Oryctolagus cuniculus: one gene and its partners. The protein of the gene in region 1 interacts with the protein of each later gene in a biochemical or structural test. Links are inferred from orthologs where the notes say so. Each region holds a gene or a part of one and is shown in the gene's direction. Other genes may lie near its edges. The genes, in order: COIL, ATXN1 and VRK1.

The links.
Region 2: the proteins of COIL (region 1) and ATXN1 form a complex in vitro, tested with the Homo sapiens proteins (2 studies listed by BioGRID). The link is inferred for Oryctolagus cuniculus from reciprocal best matches to the Homo sapiens genes COIL and ATXN1.
Region 3: of the proteins of COIL (region 1) and VRK1, one has a biochemical effect on the other in vitro, tested with the Homo sapiens proteins (2 studies listed by BioGRID and IntAct, with this or other methods). The link is inferred for Oryctolagus cuniculus from reciprocal best matches to the Homo sapiens genes COIL and VRK1.

The regions. Positions count from the first base shown.
Region 1 is NC_091448.1:32,535,487-32,540,826, reverse strand, and holds part of COIL (coilin), read left to right. Parts: intron 1-956; coding exon 957-2,067; intron 2,068-2,186; coding exon 2,187-2,273; intron 2,274-2,823; coding exon 2,824-2,871; intron 2,872-5,234; coding exon 5,235-5,304; intron 5,305-5,340. UniProt on the Homo sapiens protein: Component of nuclear coiled bodies, also known as Cajal bodies or CBs, which are involved in the modification and assembly of nucleoplasmic snRNPs.
Region 2 is NC_091436.1:143,605,270-143,610,609, reverse strand, and holds part of ATXN1 (ataxin-1), read left to right. Parts: intron 1-3,948; coding exon 3,949-4,479; 3' UTR 4,480-5,340. UniProt on the Homo sapiens protein: Chromatin-binding factor that repress Notch signaling in the absence of Notch intracellular domain by acting as a CBF1 corepressor. Binds to the HEY promoter and might assist, along with NCOR2, RBPJ-mediated repression. Binds RNA in vitro.
Region 3 is NC_091451.1:41,129,845-41,135,184, forward strand, and holds part of VRK1 (serine/threonine-protein kinase VRK1), read left to right. Parts: intron 1-3,541; coding exon 3,542-3,650; intron 3,651-3,774; coding exon 3,775-3,867; intron 3,868-5,340. UniProt on the Homo sapiens protein: Serine/threonine kinase involved in the regulation of key cellular processes including the cell cycle, nuclear condensation, transcription regulation, and DNA damage response.

The DNA.
Region 1 (5,340 bases):
CTTGTGAATCTCCCACGAGGGTTCGGGGCCCAAGGACTTGGGCCATCTCTACTGCCTTCCCAGGCCACAGCAGAGAGCTGCTTTGCTGGATGGGAAATGGAGCAGCTGGGACTCAAACCTGAGTTCATATAGGATGCTGGCACTGCAGGCAGTGGCAGCTTTTACCCACTCACTATGCCACAATGCTGGCCCCCTGCCTAAAGTTTTTTATTTTTAAAGATTTATTTATTTATTTTAAAGTCAGAGTTACAGAGAGAGAGAGAGAGAGAGGTCTTCCATCTGCTGGTTCACTCCCCAGTTGGCTGCAACGGCCGGGGCTGCATCGATCTGAAGCCAGGAGCCAGGAGCTTCTTCCAGGTCTCTCACGTGGGTGCAGAGAGCTGGATTGGTAGTGGAGCAGTTGGGACTCGAACTAGTGCCCATATGGGATGCCAGCACTGGAGGTGACAGCTTTATCCACTATGCCACAACACTGGCCCCTCAACATAAAAAGGCAACTCAACATTCCAAAAACAAAAATGGATAATCATCTTTTAGGGTTGGTAACATACATGTAGTGGAAAGTTGAGTGTTGAAATTAGATTGAGAATTAAATTGCTTTTCTGCTACTTGTCAGCTGTGGATTCTGGGCAGGTTGCTTGTCTGAGATGTAATCGTGTGACAGACTCTGTGACGTGACAGACTCTCCTCTGTAGTGGTGTTTAGATGAGAGGTGATCCATAGAAGATGTTTGGGATGCAGTCAGTAGTCAAACAAGACCAACCATTTGAAAGTTGACCATAAGTGATGCTGTCTAGGCCATTTTGTCAAAAGGCGTCCTTTGTGTGTTAAGTGATGCAACATTTTTTCATGGACTGGTGGTACTAAGTTTGTAGCATCATCTTGGTGTATAACTAAGTCCTTGGGATGTATTTATGCAGTGCTCACTCTAGCTTTCTCTTTTGTTCTTTTGACAGAGTTAAATTAGAAGAGAGAGGAGTTGCTGAGAATTCTGTAGTAGTCAGGAATGGTGATAGTACTCATTTTTTACCTAGAAAAGCAAAGAAGCGGGCATTTAAGTTGGAGGAGAACGAAGAAAGTGACATAGATTGCAAGTATTCAAAGAAGCATTGGAAAAGGCAAGAAAACAGTAGTAATAATGAGAAGGCCTTGGTTCCGCACACAAAAGCAGTCACAGAGCAGGCTGTGGGGAAAAAAAACAAGAGAAAGAACAAAGCAGCATGTGGCACGATGGATGACAATGATGAAGAAACCCAAAGGAAATCACCAAAGAAAAAAGAGAAATGTGAATATAAAAAGCAGACCAAGAATTCCAAGTCTCCCAAAGTGCCCGTGGTAAAAGAGTGGACCGCCCAGAACTGTAGTACTCCAAAAAGTCCTGCTAAGAACAGCCTGGCGAAAGCCAGAAGGAAAGCTGGTGTAGGCACTGTTTCAAAAGACAGCCCCAGTTCCTCCTCGGAGTCGGAGTCTTGTCACGAATCCACCAGTGATGGGCTCAGCAATGTCACTTCGGAGGCCAGAAATTCCTCAGAGAAAATTCCCACTGAGTTAGCAAAGGAAGGATCCTCTACAAAAAATACGACTGCAAACAAACTGCCTGCAAAAGGTGGCTTTAGCCTTACTCCGAGCCAGGGCAAGACCACCAGAACATCCTCGTCTAGTTCAGACTCGAGTTCAGAGTCGGATGACCAGTGCCTGCTGTCTAAGAGCACTCCCGAGAGTGCCTCGGGGCTCTTCAAGACGGCTGGCCTCTTCCCAGGGAGAGGCTGCCCAGGTCCAGGGCTGTCCTCACAGGTGCCACCTGCTGCCAGCTGGAAGTATTCTGACTTAAGCGGTGGCAGACAGGCTCCCGGTCCTCCCTCTGTTGCGACTCTCCCCTCCAGTCTAGGAAGAGGATGGGGTCGAGGAGAGGACCTTCTTTCTTGGAAGGGAGCCAGAGGTCGGGGCGCGCGGGGGAGAGGGCGAGGGCGAGGGCAGGCTGTGTCTGGTGTTGTAAACAGAAATGCTGACTATCAGAAGCAGAAGCAATTAAATGAAATGATAACAAACGCATCTACTTTTATCCAGGTAGGTATGATTGGTTGTAGCTTACCTCCCCCACTTTCCCATGGAGTGTATCTGGAGTTCATGTCATGAGTTTACGTTTTTTTACAAATACCAGTCACTTGACTAATGCTGTTTTTCAGAATCCAGTAGAGACACACAAGAAGGATTATAGTCTGTTACCACTCTTAGCAGCTGCCCCTCAGGTTGGAGAAAAGATTGCATTTAAGGTATGCTTTATTTTATTTATTTATTTAAAGATTTTATGTATTTAAGAGACACAGAGAGCTCCCATCTACTCGTTCACTCCCCAAATGCCCCCATTGTCTGGGCCAGGCCAAAGCTGGGAGCCTGGAACTCAACCCAATGTGGGTGGCGGGAAACTCAGTCCCTAAGCTGTCACTGTGCCTCTCAGGGTCTGCATTGGCAGGAAGTTGGAATCAGGAACCAGAGTCAGGCATCAAATCCAGGCATTCCAGTAAGGGGATGCGACTGTCTTAAATGGTGTCTTAGCTGTTAGATGAAAAGCCCCCCCCCCAAGGTATATTTTAAAACAGCAGTGATTGTAACCAAAATGGTTAACTCCATTTCCAAACAAACTTCACTCGTCTAGTCACATTAAATAATATTTATAAGAGCCCTTCTCACTGGTTGATGATAGAGTTCCCCTGGCTTGTGTGGGCACCTTTACATTTCACGATTTTCTCGGGTAGGAGGGAGGAGCTGTGGGAATGTGAAAGTGTACAAGAGCTTGGTATTTGTGACTTTTTTCTTCTGTAGCTTTTGGAACTAACATCCAATTACTCTCCTGATGTCTCTGACTACAAGGTAAAGTTGTTTATTTAAAAATAATTAAGTTTTCAGTATATTAATAAAATGAAAATTGTAGATAATGCTACTTAAATGAATAGTATAGAATTTTTTGAGTGAACAGTGTCATAAAGTAATGTAGAAAATGTAAACATCAACCTATAAACTTCTGAACAGCTGAATTCTGTCCATGCTGTTTTCCTGGCACTTGAGAAGAATATAGAATAAAAATTGATGAGCTTGATTTTTTTTCCTAATCAATTTCAACACATACTTATTTGAAAATCCACTCCCTCATGAGCCTAAATTTTGAAAGACCATATTATGAAAATAATAAATAGCTCTCACCTGGAAAAGATTATTTTTATTATAAGCATCTATTTCATGTATTTGTAAATGTCTTCTGATTATTATGGTCTAATATGATATCTTTGCATCATCACTTAACCATGTAGTTCACAGTCATCCTTGGAATTTACTCTCTTTATATCTGTATGAGACTCTGTCATACAAGTTTTTCATTGTTCAGTAAAAGCTTGTCACAGTGAGATTATGTTTCCTTCCCTTTTTTTCAACCAACAAAATTTTGATATAATCTTACTAAAATAAATACATACTCCTAATATGTACAATTTTTATGTCAGTTAAAAAGTCTTTTTTGGTATATGTCAGTTAAAAAGTTAAAATGTATACTTTCTTTTTTGGTATAATATGTAGAATTATAAGCATTAAAAATTTTATTTATTTATTTAGATTTATTTTTATTTATTTGAAAGGTAGAATTACATAGAGAAAGAGAGAGATAGAGAGAAATCTTCTATATACTGGTTCACTCCCCAAATGGTCACACCAACAGGAGCCAGGAGCTTCATCCAGGTCTTCCACATAGATGCAGGGGCCCAAGCACTTGGGTCATCTGCTACTGCTTTCCCAGGTGCATTAACAGGGAGCTGGATCAGAAGTGGAGCAGCCGGGTCTTGAACCAGTACCCACATGGGATGCTAGTGTTGCAGGTGGCAGCTTAATGCGTTATGCCACAATGCCAGCCTGTCAGTCTATATTTTTAATGTAATAATTAGTAATGCTGGAAGGAAAGTTGTTCTGGACTATCTTGGACAGCCCAGGGTGTTGTGTTACCCCACCATAGATAACTGATTTTCTGTGATATTTGACGAAATGGCAATGAATATTGAATTGATAAATTTAATAACCTCTGCCAATTATAGTTCTAGATCATATGATTTATTGTGTATTAAATTGGTACTAGTCACCATAGTTATTTCCTTGGCAGGCTGTCTGCTTACTTTAGTTCCCAATATTTTTTGGAGAGTTTTGAAATCACATTCAAAACCATTTTAAGAATTACAGTTGGTCCCACTCTTTTGCTTTGACCTCAGATGCTGAAATCGAGCTTGATCATCTGCTTTATTCGTTAAGCTCATCTCCAGAAGTCAGATCTATCCTCAAAGATATAGTCTCCCAGACTCCTGGCCACCATTTGGTTGGTTTTAAACACCACTGTTGGCTGTGCCCAGAAAAGCTGGGTAGAAGCAGGAGGAACTGACTGGTGGGCCTCACTGGGTGCCTCCAAAGGCTGCCGGTCTGTCTCACCACCACCCACATGCACAGGGCAGTGCACCCTCTTGATGCATTTGAAAACCAGCTCCCAAAGCTGGGGACCTGGAGGAAGGGACCTCTAATGCTGTCAGTGACAAAGGGACTTTCTGCTTGCAGCTTACTACCACTTGTAAAAGAGGCCCAGTTGGGACATGTGTGGCCTTCCCTGATGTTGTCACGAGCAAACCTCATCTGAGTTAATCATGCTGGCCCATGCTTTTCCTCTTTCTTCTATTCAGTCACTTTGATGACCTAGTCTAATCTTTACTTTTGTGTTCTTTAGGTCAGTGTCTGCCATTTGTGATTTAAATGTATCTATTTTGCTTCTGAGGGTAATTTTGTGTGTTCAAAGTGTTTATCAGAGAGAGGGGTTAAGAGAGGGAGAGAGATCTTCGATCTGCTGGCTCACTCCCCAAACGGCTGGGCCAGGCTGAAGCCAGAAGCCAAGAGCTCCATCCTGGTCTCCCACATGGCAGCCAGGGCCCTAACACTTGGGCCATCTTCCTCTGCTTTCCCAGGCACATTAGCAGGGAGCTGGATTCGAAATGAAGCAGACAGGACTGGAACTGGTGCTCCGATGTGGGATGTCGGCTTCATGAGCAGCAGCTTAATTTCCCCTGCACATTGATTTATTTAAATTTTTTATTGAGTTAAAATTCATGTAACAAAGAATTTACCAGTTTACAGTCTGTAATTCAGTGGTTTTAAGTATACATACCATGTTATATGTGTTGATATTTGACTCGGACTTTTATTTTTGAAAGGAAGGAAAAATACTAAGCCACAATCCAGAGACCCAGCAAGTAGATATAGAAATTCTTTCATCCTTACCTGGTGAGTCTTTTAGAAATGAATTTAAACATTTAGCCT
Region 2 (5,340 bases), on another chromosome or scaffold:
CCCAGCTTCTCTGCTTCCAATCGACATTCCAGTCCACACACACCCTGACAAGCAGTAGGTGATCACTGCAACCCACGTGGGAGATCCAGATTGAGTTCTAGGCACCTGGCTTTGGTCTGGCCCATCCCTGACTGTTATGGCCATTTGAGGAGTGAACTAGTAGGTGGAAGATCTACCCACCTGCCTCTCTTACCTCCTCCCTCCTCTCCCTACCTCCCTTTCAAATAAAATGAAAATAAATAATTTTTAAAATAAACAGCCCCGAATGATTATGAAACTTTTCCCCAGATGTGTACACTTGTGTGTAGGCTCATGCTCATACACACACAACAGAAGTGGGCTTCCACACGGATTCTCTCCAGCTGTCCTATCTGAACACATTTATCTGCTTCCAGTAAACCTTGTCATTCAAGAAGTGTGTATTTAACTAAAATGATCAGAGTTGTCAAAGAAGATACAGAAGGTTAAGCAGAAGAGTCACACTCCATGTCCATTCCATGGAAATTTATTACTTTCCACAGTTGTATTAGTATTTAATGGTTTATGAGTAGGTATAATGCAAGTGTATGAAGTTCAGTGGACATTTTCACTATTGTATAGAGCCGATGCTTATTTGGATTTACCCACATAGCTCCCGTTTCCTTGCTCTTCATTTCTCCCTGCATCTACAAACCTCTCTCTAGATTCTTTGTGGGTTTTTTTTTTTTTCCTTCTGAAAGCTTACTCTAGTATTTTCTGTAGAGCAGTTCTGTTGCTGGTGAGTTCCCTTAATTACTGTTTGTCTGAAACGTCTTTATTTTGCCTTCATTCTTGAAGAAGCTTTGTGCTCTGTATAGAATGCTTGATTGGCAACTCTGTTACCTCAGCACTTTAAAGATATTCCATTGTCTTCCGGCTCCCATTATTTTTGTTGACGGAGAGTGTGAATGTAATTGTTACTGATTTGAGGTAATGTCTGTTTGATCTGGAGGCTTTTAAGATTTTTCTTTCCTGTCTCTGGCTTAGAGCAGTTTAACTATAACCTGCTTGGGTGAGGATATTTCCTCACTCTTCTTTCTTGGGGCTAAGTCTTCTTGAGTTTGTGACTTCCCTCTTGTTAGTCTGGGAAAATTCAAGTATTAGTTCTCTTTCCTCCTAGGATTCAAATTGTGCATCTATTAGACCTTCTCAATGTATCTTCTGTCTCTTAGGCTCTCCTCTGAATTAGCCCCCCCCCTTTTTTTGTACCTTTGATTCATTTTTTGTAGTTTCTTCTAAAGCTCTTAATCTAGTTCAGAATCCAATTACAGAACCCAGTTCACTAATTCTTTCTTCAACTGTGTCTATTCAGCTGGAAAATTATCTTGATCTTAGTGAATATAGTGCTTTCATTCTAGAGTGTCCAGAAATATTTTAAAAATAAATTAGACTTGGGGCAGGCATAACGGGTAAAGCCGCTGGCTGCAGTGCCGGCATCCTGTATGGATGCCAGTTCAAGTCCCGGCTGCTCCACTTCCGATCCAGCTCTCTGCTATGGCCTTGGGAAAGCAATGGAAGATGGTCCAAGTTCTTGGTCCCCTGCACCCCCGTGGGAAACCTGGAAGAAGCTCCTGGCTTCAGATTGGCCCAGCTCCAGCCATTGCAGCCATCTGGGGGTGTGAACCAGTAGATGGATAGAAGACCTCTCTCTCTCTTTCTTTCTCTTTCTCTCTCTCTCTCTCTGCCTTTCAAATAAATAAATATATCATTTAAAAAATTAAGATTCTAGTTTTCTCCCCACTCCTCAAGCTTGTGTTTCATCTCCTGAAATATTGTAAGCAGGGTCATTTTTAAGTCTCTGGTGATTACCAGAAGCCCCTGTGGGTCTGTTCTTATGATCAGATGTTTTGTCTTTATTAGTTTTGCTTCTCTCTTGGTCTCCTCATTCTTCCTCCCTTTTCAAAATTGAATGGTAATGTAGTATTTGCAACAGTGTGGAAATAATTCAAGAGCTGAATCCAGTGTTAGAGACTGAGATGATTAAGATTTGACTTCAGACCTTGGAAGGCCTATCCACTTCTGATGCACCCTTACTTTTAAGGCATAGTGTTTGGGATCAGAGGTTAAAAATCGGGGTTCGGGGCCGGTGCTGTGGCACAGTGGGTTAATGTCCTGGCCTGAAGCGCCCGGCATCCCATATAGGCGCCAGTTCTAGTCCCGGTTGCTCCACTTCCAATCCAGCTCTCTGCTGTGGCCTGGGAAAGCAGTGGAGGATGGCCCAAGTGCTTGGGCCCCTGCACCCAAGTTGGAGACCCAGAAGAAGCTCCTGGCTCCTGGCTCCTGGCTTCAGATTGGCGCAGCTCTGGCCATTGTGGGCATCTGGGGAGTGAACCAGTAGATGGAAGACTTTCTCTCTGTCTCTACCTCTCTCTGTAACTCTGTCTTTCAAATAAATAAAATAAATCTTAAAAAAAAAGCGGGGTTCACCAAAGATCACCGTCCCTTGGTGTACCCTGCACTGCATTACACACACACACAAAATGCTATTGAGATTCCCAGAAGCCCACTTAATCTTATAACTGCTCTACTTTGAAATATTCAAAGTTGGCTTGGAACACCACCAGGTTCAAATCTGTGGGCTATCATATCCTTTTCTGGTTTGACACAGTTAAGTTTTTTACTGTCTTATTTCTGTCCAGTGCCTTTAAACAGTGTTTTTTTAATTATTTATTCATTTATTTATTTGCTTGAAAGTTACACAGAGAGAGTGAGAGACAGACAGATCGTCATCTGCTGGTTCACTCCTGAGATGGCTGCAATGGCTGGGGCTGAGCCAGGCTGAAGCCAGGAGCTTCTTCTGGGTCTCCCAAATGGGTGGCAGGGGCCTGAACCCTTGATCCACCCTCCACTGCTTTTTCTAGGCCATTAGCAGGGAGTTGGATCAGAAGTGGAGCAGCTGGGACTCATACTGGCACCAACATGGCATGCTGGCATCAACACCACAACACTGGCCCTGATAAAAATGCTTTTTAACATTTTCTTCAGAATTTTTAATTTTGTTGTTTTTATGGTATTTTTGTTGTTGTTGTTGACAGCTTCCAGTTTTCCTTAGTAGGAAGCTTGTTCCAAAATTGCCTAGTCTAATACATCTCAAACAGCCATTGAAAATTGACTTTTTAAACTACTTCATTGCTCTCTCTCTAAATTTTTTATAATGTTGAATAAATTTAATTTCATGAGAATTAAACTCTTAAAAGCATCGGGTGCCTTTCAGACTTTGGCTATTTTGCAAATACCCATCCCGTACCCTCTCCTTGCCTTTGTTTGTGATACTTAAATGTCTCCTTGTAGCCCCACCTCTGGCATGGAGCAGGATTGGAAGCAGAGCCACCAGCCCACACACTCGTGCTCCTATGAGAGCCCAGCATTGCCACCGGCGGCTGAACCCTGCTGTACCACAATGCTGACCCCCAGCTGACTTGTTTTAACAGAGACCAGGGATAGAGCTAATGCTAAGTGAAGTATTTGGATACTGAATGGACCTTTTCACTGGACCGTTTTCTGCATTGGCTCCTGCCCAGCTTCTCTATGTAGTAAACGCAGATACAACAGGCAGCAAAGGGCCTCATTGTGTTGTGTTGCTAGGGAAGGGAAGTTTGTTAGTGGAGTCTAATTTATTAACATGCAGCCTGTGTGTGTGTGTGTGAGTGGGGGAGGAAGGAAGGAAGGAAGGAAGGAAGGAAGGAAGGAAGGAAGGAAGGAAGGAAGGAAGGAAGGAAGGGAAGGAAGGGAAGGAAGGGAAGGAAGGGAAGGAAGGGAAGGAAGGGAAGGAAGGGAAGGAAGGGAAGGAAGGGAAGGAAGGGAAGGAAGGGAAGGAAGGGAAGGAAGGGAAGGAAGGGAAGGAAGGGAAGGAAGGGAAGGAAGGAAATCATACAGAGCTCTCACTGGTTTCCCTCCTGTCTGCCTCTCTGTCTCTCCCTGTTCCCACAGGTCAGCGTGGAAGTCTTGGTCGAGTATCCTTTTTTTGTGTTTGGACAGGGCTGGTCGTCCTGCTGCCCGGAGAGAACCAGCCAGCTCTTTGATCTGCCGTGTTCCAGACTCTCAGTAGGTGACGTCTGCATCTCGCTCACCCTCAAGAACGCCAAGAATGGCTCTGTTAAAAAGGGCCAGCCCGCAGATGCTGCCAGTGTCCTGCTGAAGCGCTCAAAGACCGACAGCCTGGCGGGCAGCAGACACAGGTACGCCGAGCAGGAGAACGGGCTCAATCAGGGAAGCGCTCAGATGCTGTCTGAGAACGGTGAACTGAAGTTTCCAGAGAAGATGGGCTTGCCCGCAGCACCCTTCTTCACGAAAGTAGAACCCAGCAGGCCCGCGGCCGCGAGGAAGAGGAGGTGGTCGGCGCCGGAGACCCGCAAACTGGAGAAGTCGGAGGACGAGCCGCCTTTGACTCTTCCCAAGCCTTCTCTGATTCCTCAGGAGGTCAAGATTTGCATCGAGGGCCGGTCTAACGTGGGCAAGTAGAGGCAGAGCGGACGAGGCGCCGCGGCCGTCCCGTGCCCTTCCTTCGTATCCAGATTACTGTACTGTAGGCTAAATAACACAGTATTTACATGTTATCCTCTTACTTTAGATTTCTGTTCTAACCTTGTCATTACAGTTACAGCAGGTGTGTCGCAGGAGACTGGTGCATACGCTTTGTCCGCGAGTGTCTGTCGGGGAGTGGCGGGTGGGCCACTGGCAGGCAGGGCAGCAGCCGGCAGGTGCCCGGGCCCGCCGGGGTCCCGAGAGAGGCCAATGGGAAGGGACCTGCAGGGGTAGAGGGGCGTGTGCCTGTGAGGGTGCGTGGGGGCCACAGCGGGCGGGTGAGAGGGTCTCTCGGCCCCTGCCTCCCTCTGTGCTGCCCTCTTGCCTTCAGCGGGGGCTGGGGGTAGGGGGCGGTACAGAGCAGCATCCTCCTGGGGTTCCCACATTCAAAGTCAACATCAGGACCCCAGCTTCAGGGCAGGCGGCAGATGGAAAGGAAAGCTCTCCGTTTCAAAGAACGTTTTTCTCTCCAACACATTTTACAATAAAAGCAACTTTTAATCATATAGAGATATATTTCCCCCTATGGGGCCTTGACTGCACTGATACATATTTCTTTTTTTTAAAGAGCAACTGCCACACGTGGGATTTCATTTCTGCTTTACTAGTGCAGTGATGTCGCCAAGGGTGTCGCTGTGGGCAGGGAGGCCCTGCCCGTATCACCCTTCCCACCCCCAACACAGCTTGCACCATGATGGGGGGCTGGGGCTGGGGTGAGGGAACACCCTCGCTGGTTCTGTGCAGTGCTAGGAGAACCAGTCCGATCCTAGCCTTGTGGCTCCAGAAAGGTAGATGCAG
Region 3 (5,340 bases), on another chromosome or scaffold:
ACCACTCAGCTCATTTCTTTTATAAAATGAGGTTGTTAGAAATGTCTTCTGGGGCCGGTGCTGTGGCGTAGTGGGCTAGGCTCTGCCTATGGCGTTGGCATCCCATATGGGCGCTGGTTCGAGTCCTGGCTGCTCCACTTTCCATCTAGCTTTCTGCTGTGGCCTGGGAAAGTAGTAGAAGATAGCTCAAGTGCTTGGGCCCACACCAGTAAGGGAGACCCTGAAGAGGCTCCTGGCTTGGGACTGGCTCAGCTCTGGCCATTGTGGCCATTTAGGGCGTGAACCAGTGGATGGAAGATTTCTCTCTGCTTCTGCCGGTCTGTTACTCTGCTTTTCAAATAAATCTTTAAAAAAAAAAAATCTTCTTCAGAAACAATGTGTAAGGCATCGATTTACTTTTTCAGTGGAAGCTCTTAAAAGTATTCATAAGTCTTTTTTTTTTTTTTTTTTTGACAGGCAGAGTGGACAGTGAGAGAGAGACAGAGAGAAAGGTCTTCCTTTTGCCGTTGGTTCACCTTCCAATGGCCGCTGCGGCCGGTGCACCGTGCTGATCCGATGGCAGGAGCCAGGTGCTTCTCCTGGTCTCCCATGGGGTGCAGGGCCCAAGCACTTGGGCCATCCTCCACTGCACTCCTGGGCCACAGCAGAGAGCTGGCCTGGAAGAGGGGCAACCGGGACAGAATCCGGCACCCCAACCGGGACTAGAACCCGGGGTGCCGGCGCCGGCTATAAGTCTTTATAAAGAGTAGAGAAACAGAAAGTAAGATCACTCTTCTGTCTTCCTCCCCATCAGAAATCTTCACTTGTCTCTGACTCATTTAAATTAATACACACAGTGTTAAGATAGTAAAAATGTTAGCTATCATCATCAGATTATTTTATTCTCATTTAATATTTTCCCGTTTCTTGTGTCATTTTATCCAAGTCCCCAGAAGATGTGTACTTCACGGGTCTTGCTTTAGCGGTTGTTCAGAGATGACTTCAGTTTGGCTGCTCAGCGGTGGAGCCGTCTTTGACTAGCATGTGGTGACAGCTTCCATGCAATTCATGGATCCTGCTTCAGTTGATGTTTATAATTTAGAAATATGAGATTAAGGGGTTGTTTAGAGTAGTGGTGGGTGCTATGCGAACGAAAGCAAAGGTCTACTTAATGTGGTGTGTTATTAGATTCCATATCAGATTAAGCAGTTGCGTTTTAGTCTTCGTTCAGGCTGTCAGCAGAGGTTGTATTTTTGTTACCTCTATTATTAAAATTGCAGATGTCATTTATATGTAGAAGAAAACAAGAACATAGGTTCTTTTTTTTTTTTTTTTTTTTTTTTGACAGGCAGAGTGGACAGTGAGAGAGAGAGACAGAGAAAGGTCTTCCTTTTGCCGTTGGTTCACCTTCCAATGGCTGCTGTGGCCGGCGTACCGCGCTGATCTGATGGCAGGAGCCAGGTGCTTCTCTTGGTCTCCCATGGGGTGCAGGGCCCAAGCACTTGGGCCATCCTCCACTGCACTCCCTGGCCACAGCAGAGAGCTGGCCTGGAAGAGGGGCAACCGGGACAGAATCCGGCGCCCCAACCGGGACTAGAACCCAATGTGCGGGCGCCACAAGGCGGAGGATTAGCCTAGTGAGCCATGGCGCCGGCCAACATAGGTTCTGATGTCATCTCTCAAACTTTCAAAACCTGATATCAAAGGAAATCAGGAAATCAAAATTATTGTTCTCTCTTTATTATCTTAGAGGTATTGGGAAATGTTACATGAATTAACACATTTTACCACTGATTAATTGTCTGACTTTGGACAAATCATTTTGCCTCCATAAACATTATTTTATTTATTAAAAGATGTGTAGACAAGATGATCTCCAAATCTCCTCTAGTTCAAAATCAGATAAAATTCTGAATTTAAAAATTTTTTATTTGTAATTACATATAATAATTGTACATTTTTATGGGGTAGAATCCTGAGTTTTTTTATTTGGCATGTCGTCATTTATTTACTTGGGAGATGGAGACCCACCCACACACACACACACACACACACACACACGCACAGCAGAGAAATGGCTCCCATTTGCTGGTTTTCTCCCCAAATTCCCACAATGGCCAGGGCTGGGCTGGGGCTAAAGCTGGGAGCCAGGGATGCAGTGCAGATCTCACCCAAGGGTGGGCAGGAAGCTGATTAACTGAGCCACCACTGCTGCTTCCCAGGGTCTGGGTTAGTAGGAAGCTGGAGTCAGGAGCCAGAGCTGGGAGTTGTACCCGGATACTGCAGTGTGGGACATGGCGCCTTGACTGCGAGACTGAACGCCCATTCACTGGCTTGTTAGCTCTCAGTGTTAATCAGCTCTCCTTCTCTATTCCACTTGTCATACTATATTTTTATTATAAAGGCATACAAGCGGGAATTTTGTTTTCCAACTGATGTTTACTTAAGTATTGGTGGTTCAGTGGTCCAAAGTTTGGCTTCATTGCATACTCGAGGACACATTACTTACTTTCCTGTGCTGGACGTTCCTCTGTCACGTTGCTCAGGGTACTGCTCGGGCCAGGCGTTCCGTAAGCGCTGTCCGTAGTGGTGAGGACGTCTTCCTCTCCTCCCCACCAGAGGCACCTTGATACATTTTGGGTGTGTTCTTGTTTTTTGTTGGTTTATTGAATGATTTAGCCAGACAAGTTGGAACCTGGAAAACTGTTGAAGACAAAGGAAGTCCTCAGAGCAAAACCTGGACAGGGTCACTGCTCATCAGTGATGTTTTCAGTGGACAGGGTCACTGCTCATCAGTGATGTTTTCAGTGGACAGGGTCACTGCTCATCAGTGATGTTTTCAGTACTTTGTGAACTGTAGCACCCAGTCACCGAAAAGACTTTGGAAACGGTGGGTCTTCACTGTCGTTTTACTCCCATGGACAGGAGGCTCAGGGGTTAGTGGGACTTAACCAAGGTGATGTAGCTGGTTTTTGGCAGAACCAAAAGTCTTCATTTTTTTCCTGCATGTTTGTTCTCCCTCCAGTCTCACCCACTGAATGTCAAACATACTATGCCTTCTTACCATTTAAGTGATTTTGATTGAATTTAGCTGTTGTCAGCAGCGTCCCTTGGCAGTCTTTATTTTAACAGAATGTTGATACTGCTGGAATGTACTTTAAAAATTAGAGAAAAATCATCACAGGAAGGAAGCTAATATCCAGAAAAATAAATGAACTTAATGAGAAAAATCGGTGCCTTCATTCTTATTCAGAGTGCTTTATCTTTCCTGTGGATGGATCTGCTGGGTTCTTTCTGTGAGCGGTATCTTCAGGTCTTGTGTGCAGTGACCAGCAGAGAGCGGAGACCCTCTGGGGACAGAGGACAGAGCAGTAGGCTGGGCTTGAGCTTTCTAGTGGGGGAAATTGTTCCAAACGTTTATATTTCTCTTGGGTTATTTCTTTAGAATACTGTCTTACTAAACTTTGCCTTGGAACAAATTACTCTGAAAGGGTATTAGTCATTGCAAAGTAGATTTTCCTGAGTTATATTTTGTTCATTGACTTTTCTTGTTTGTCTTCAGTTACAGGTTTATGATAATGGATCGCTTTGGGAGTGACCTTCAGAAAATATACGAAGCAAATGCCAGAAGGTTTTCTCGGAAAACTGTCTTGCAGCTAAGCTTAAGAATTGTATGTGAGCTACATTTTTGTTTTCAAAGAATTCTTTTTAATAAAGGCTAGCATGTTGGAGCTCGGTCCTCTGCTGGTTGGCGTTAGGTATTACATTAATTTCTCCTGTGTGATGCTTTCCTAGCTGGATATTCTGGAATATATTCACGAGCATGAGTATGTACATGGAGATATCAAGGCCTCGAATCTCCTCCTGAGCTACAAGAATCCTGACCAGGTAGTTGTGTATCTTTAATTTCTACTATTTAAAATGTGTTGTTTGGAAACAAGTATGGTCGCTTTGAACTTTTGAACCCACGCAGAAGTTTTACTTTTTGAAGTAGATATGGTGATAATAATATTTCTTCTTGACACTTTTATCTAGTTAACATTCTCCGTTTCGATGCAGTTTGTTGGCACTTTATCAAGTTGGCTATTTTGCCCTAAATAATATTCAGAAGAAGTACTTGTGATACAAAATGAATTTCAAATAGCTATTTGGGAGTGGAAGCTTAAAATTATATAGTACACCAATGAATTATGTTTGCCTGTCTGCTTTGTCACTTTTTTTATTTCCTTTGTTCAAGAAATCCATCAAATGTAAGTGTTCTGTTACTTGGAAAATTTGGTCTTTAACATGTTGATTGTTCAAATCAATTGGTTTACAGAAATACCTTAGCTGTCTAAATTTGTATACGCTTGGTGTTTAGAATTCCAGCGTGCATTTTTTAAAGTTTATTACATTTTCTTTGTAATTTACTTTCTAAGGAAAGAAAAGATGCTAGTAGTACCCTGCCTGTGTCTGGGTCCGTTAGCTGGAGTAGAGGGACCTGTGATTCCGTGCAGCTGTCCTGTGAGCCTGGTAAAGGAGGCTTTAGCTGACACTCGCAGTTGGGCCTGCGAATTCACGGGAAGTCTGCCTTTTCTCTTGATCTCGTGTATAAAAGGGAGATTTACACATTTTAAATGTGTTGGGCACTTTATGTAATTATTTTTCAGCGTTCTCTATTTCATCCTTCTTTCTCAAACCTGTCTTTATGTCTGGTTTTTCCTTTGACTCTCGTTGTTTTCGGACCATCTCATGGGTTTGCTTCTCCTCTCCCAAAGTCAGTCCCGGCAGATGGAACAAAAGGAAGATGCTGTGCTTGTGTGCTGATGGGGAACCGCCGGAGGCAGTTATCCAGTTCTTTTTAGCCCTCTTGTTCTAGCTGTTTCTCTGTTAGCTGAGAACCTGAACAAGGAGGACATTGTTAATTGAAGTAGACTGGATTTGTACAATGTAATAAGCAGAAATACTTGTATCACTTATATATATATCAGTTTGCGGTTGACTACAACAGGCTACATTTTTTATTTTATCGAAAGATTTTTCAGCTTGGTCACCCTTTAGGCATGCGCTTTGGATGGGATTGTTCTTCTAACATTTTATGTGTGTGCCGGATCCATCTCCATATTTTTACTTTCAGTTTCTCTTTGTGCACACATGCATTCCTGTGTCACAGTTACCAGAATTAAAGATGTAATATGTGGCGATGGAATAAAAGAAAGCCAAATTTATTAGCTTTGTGTGCTAATAAGACCAGTTGTAATTGCCCGGAAATGTGTGTGGATATGATATTAAATTCAGTTTTAATTATGAAGACTTGACTTATTAATATATAGTATTTAAATGTAGGTAAGGGTCTCATCTAAAAGTTCTTCAGATCGTGAT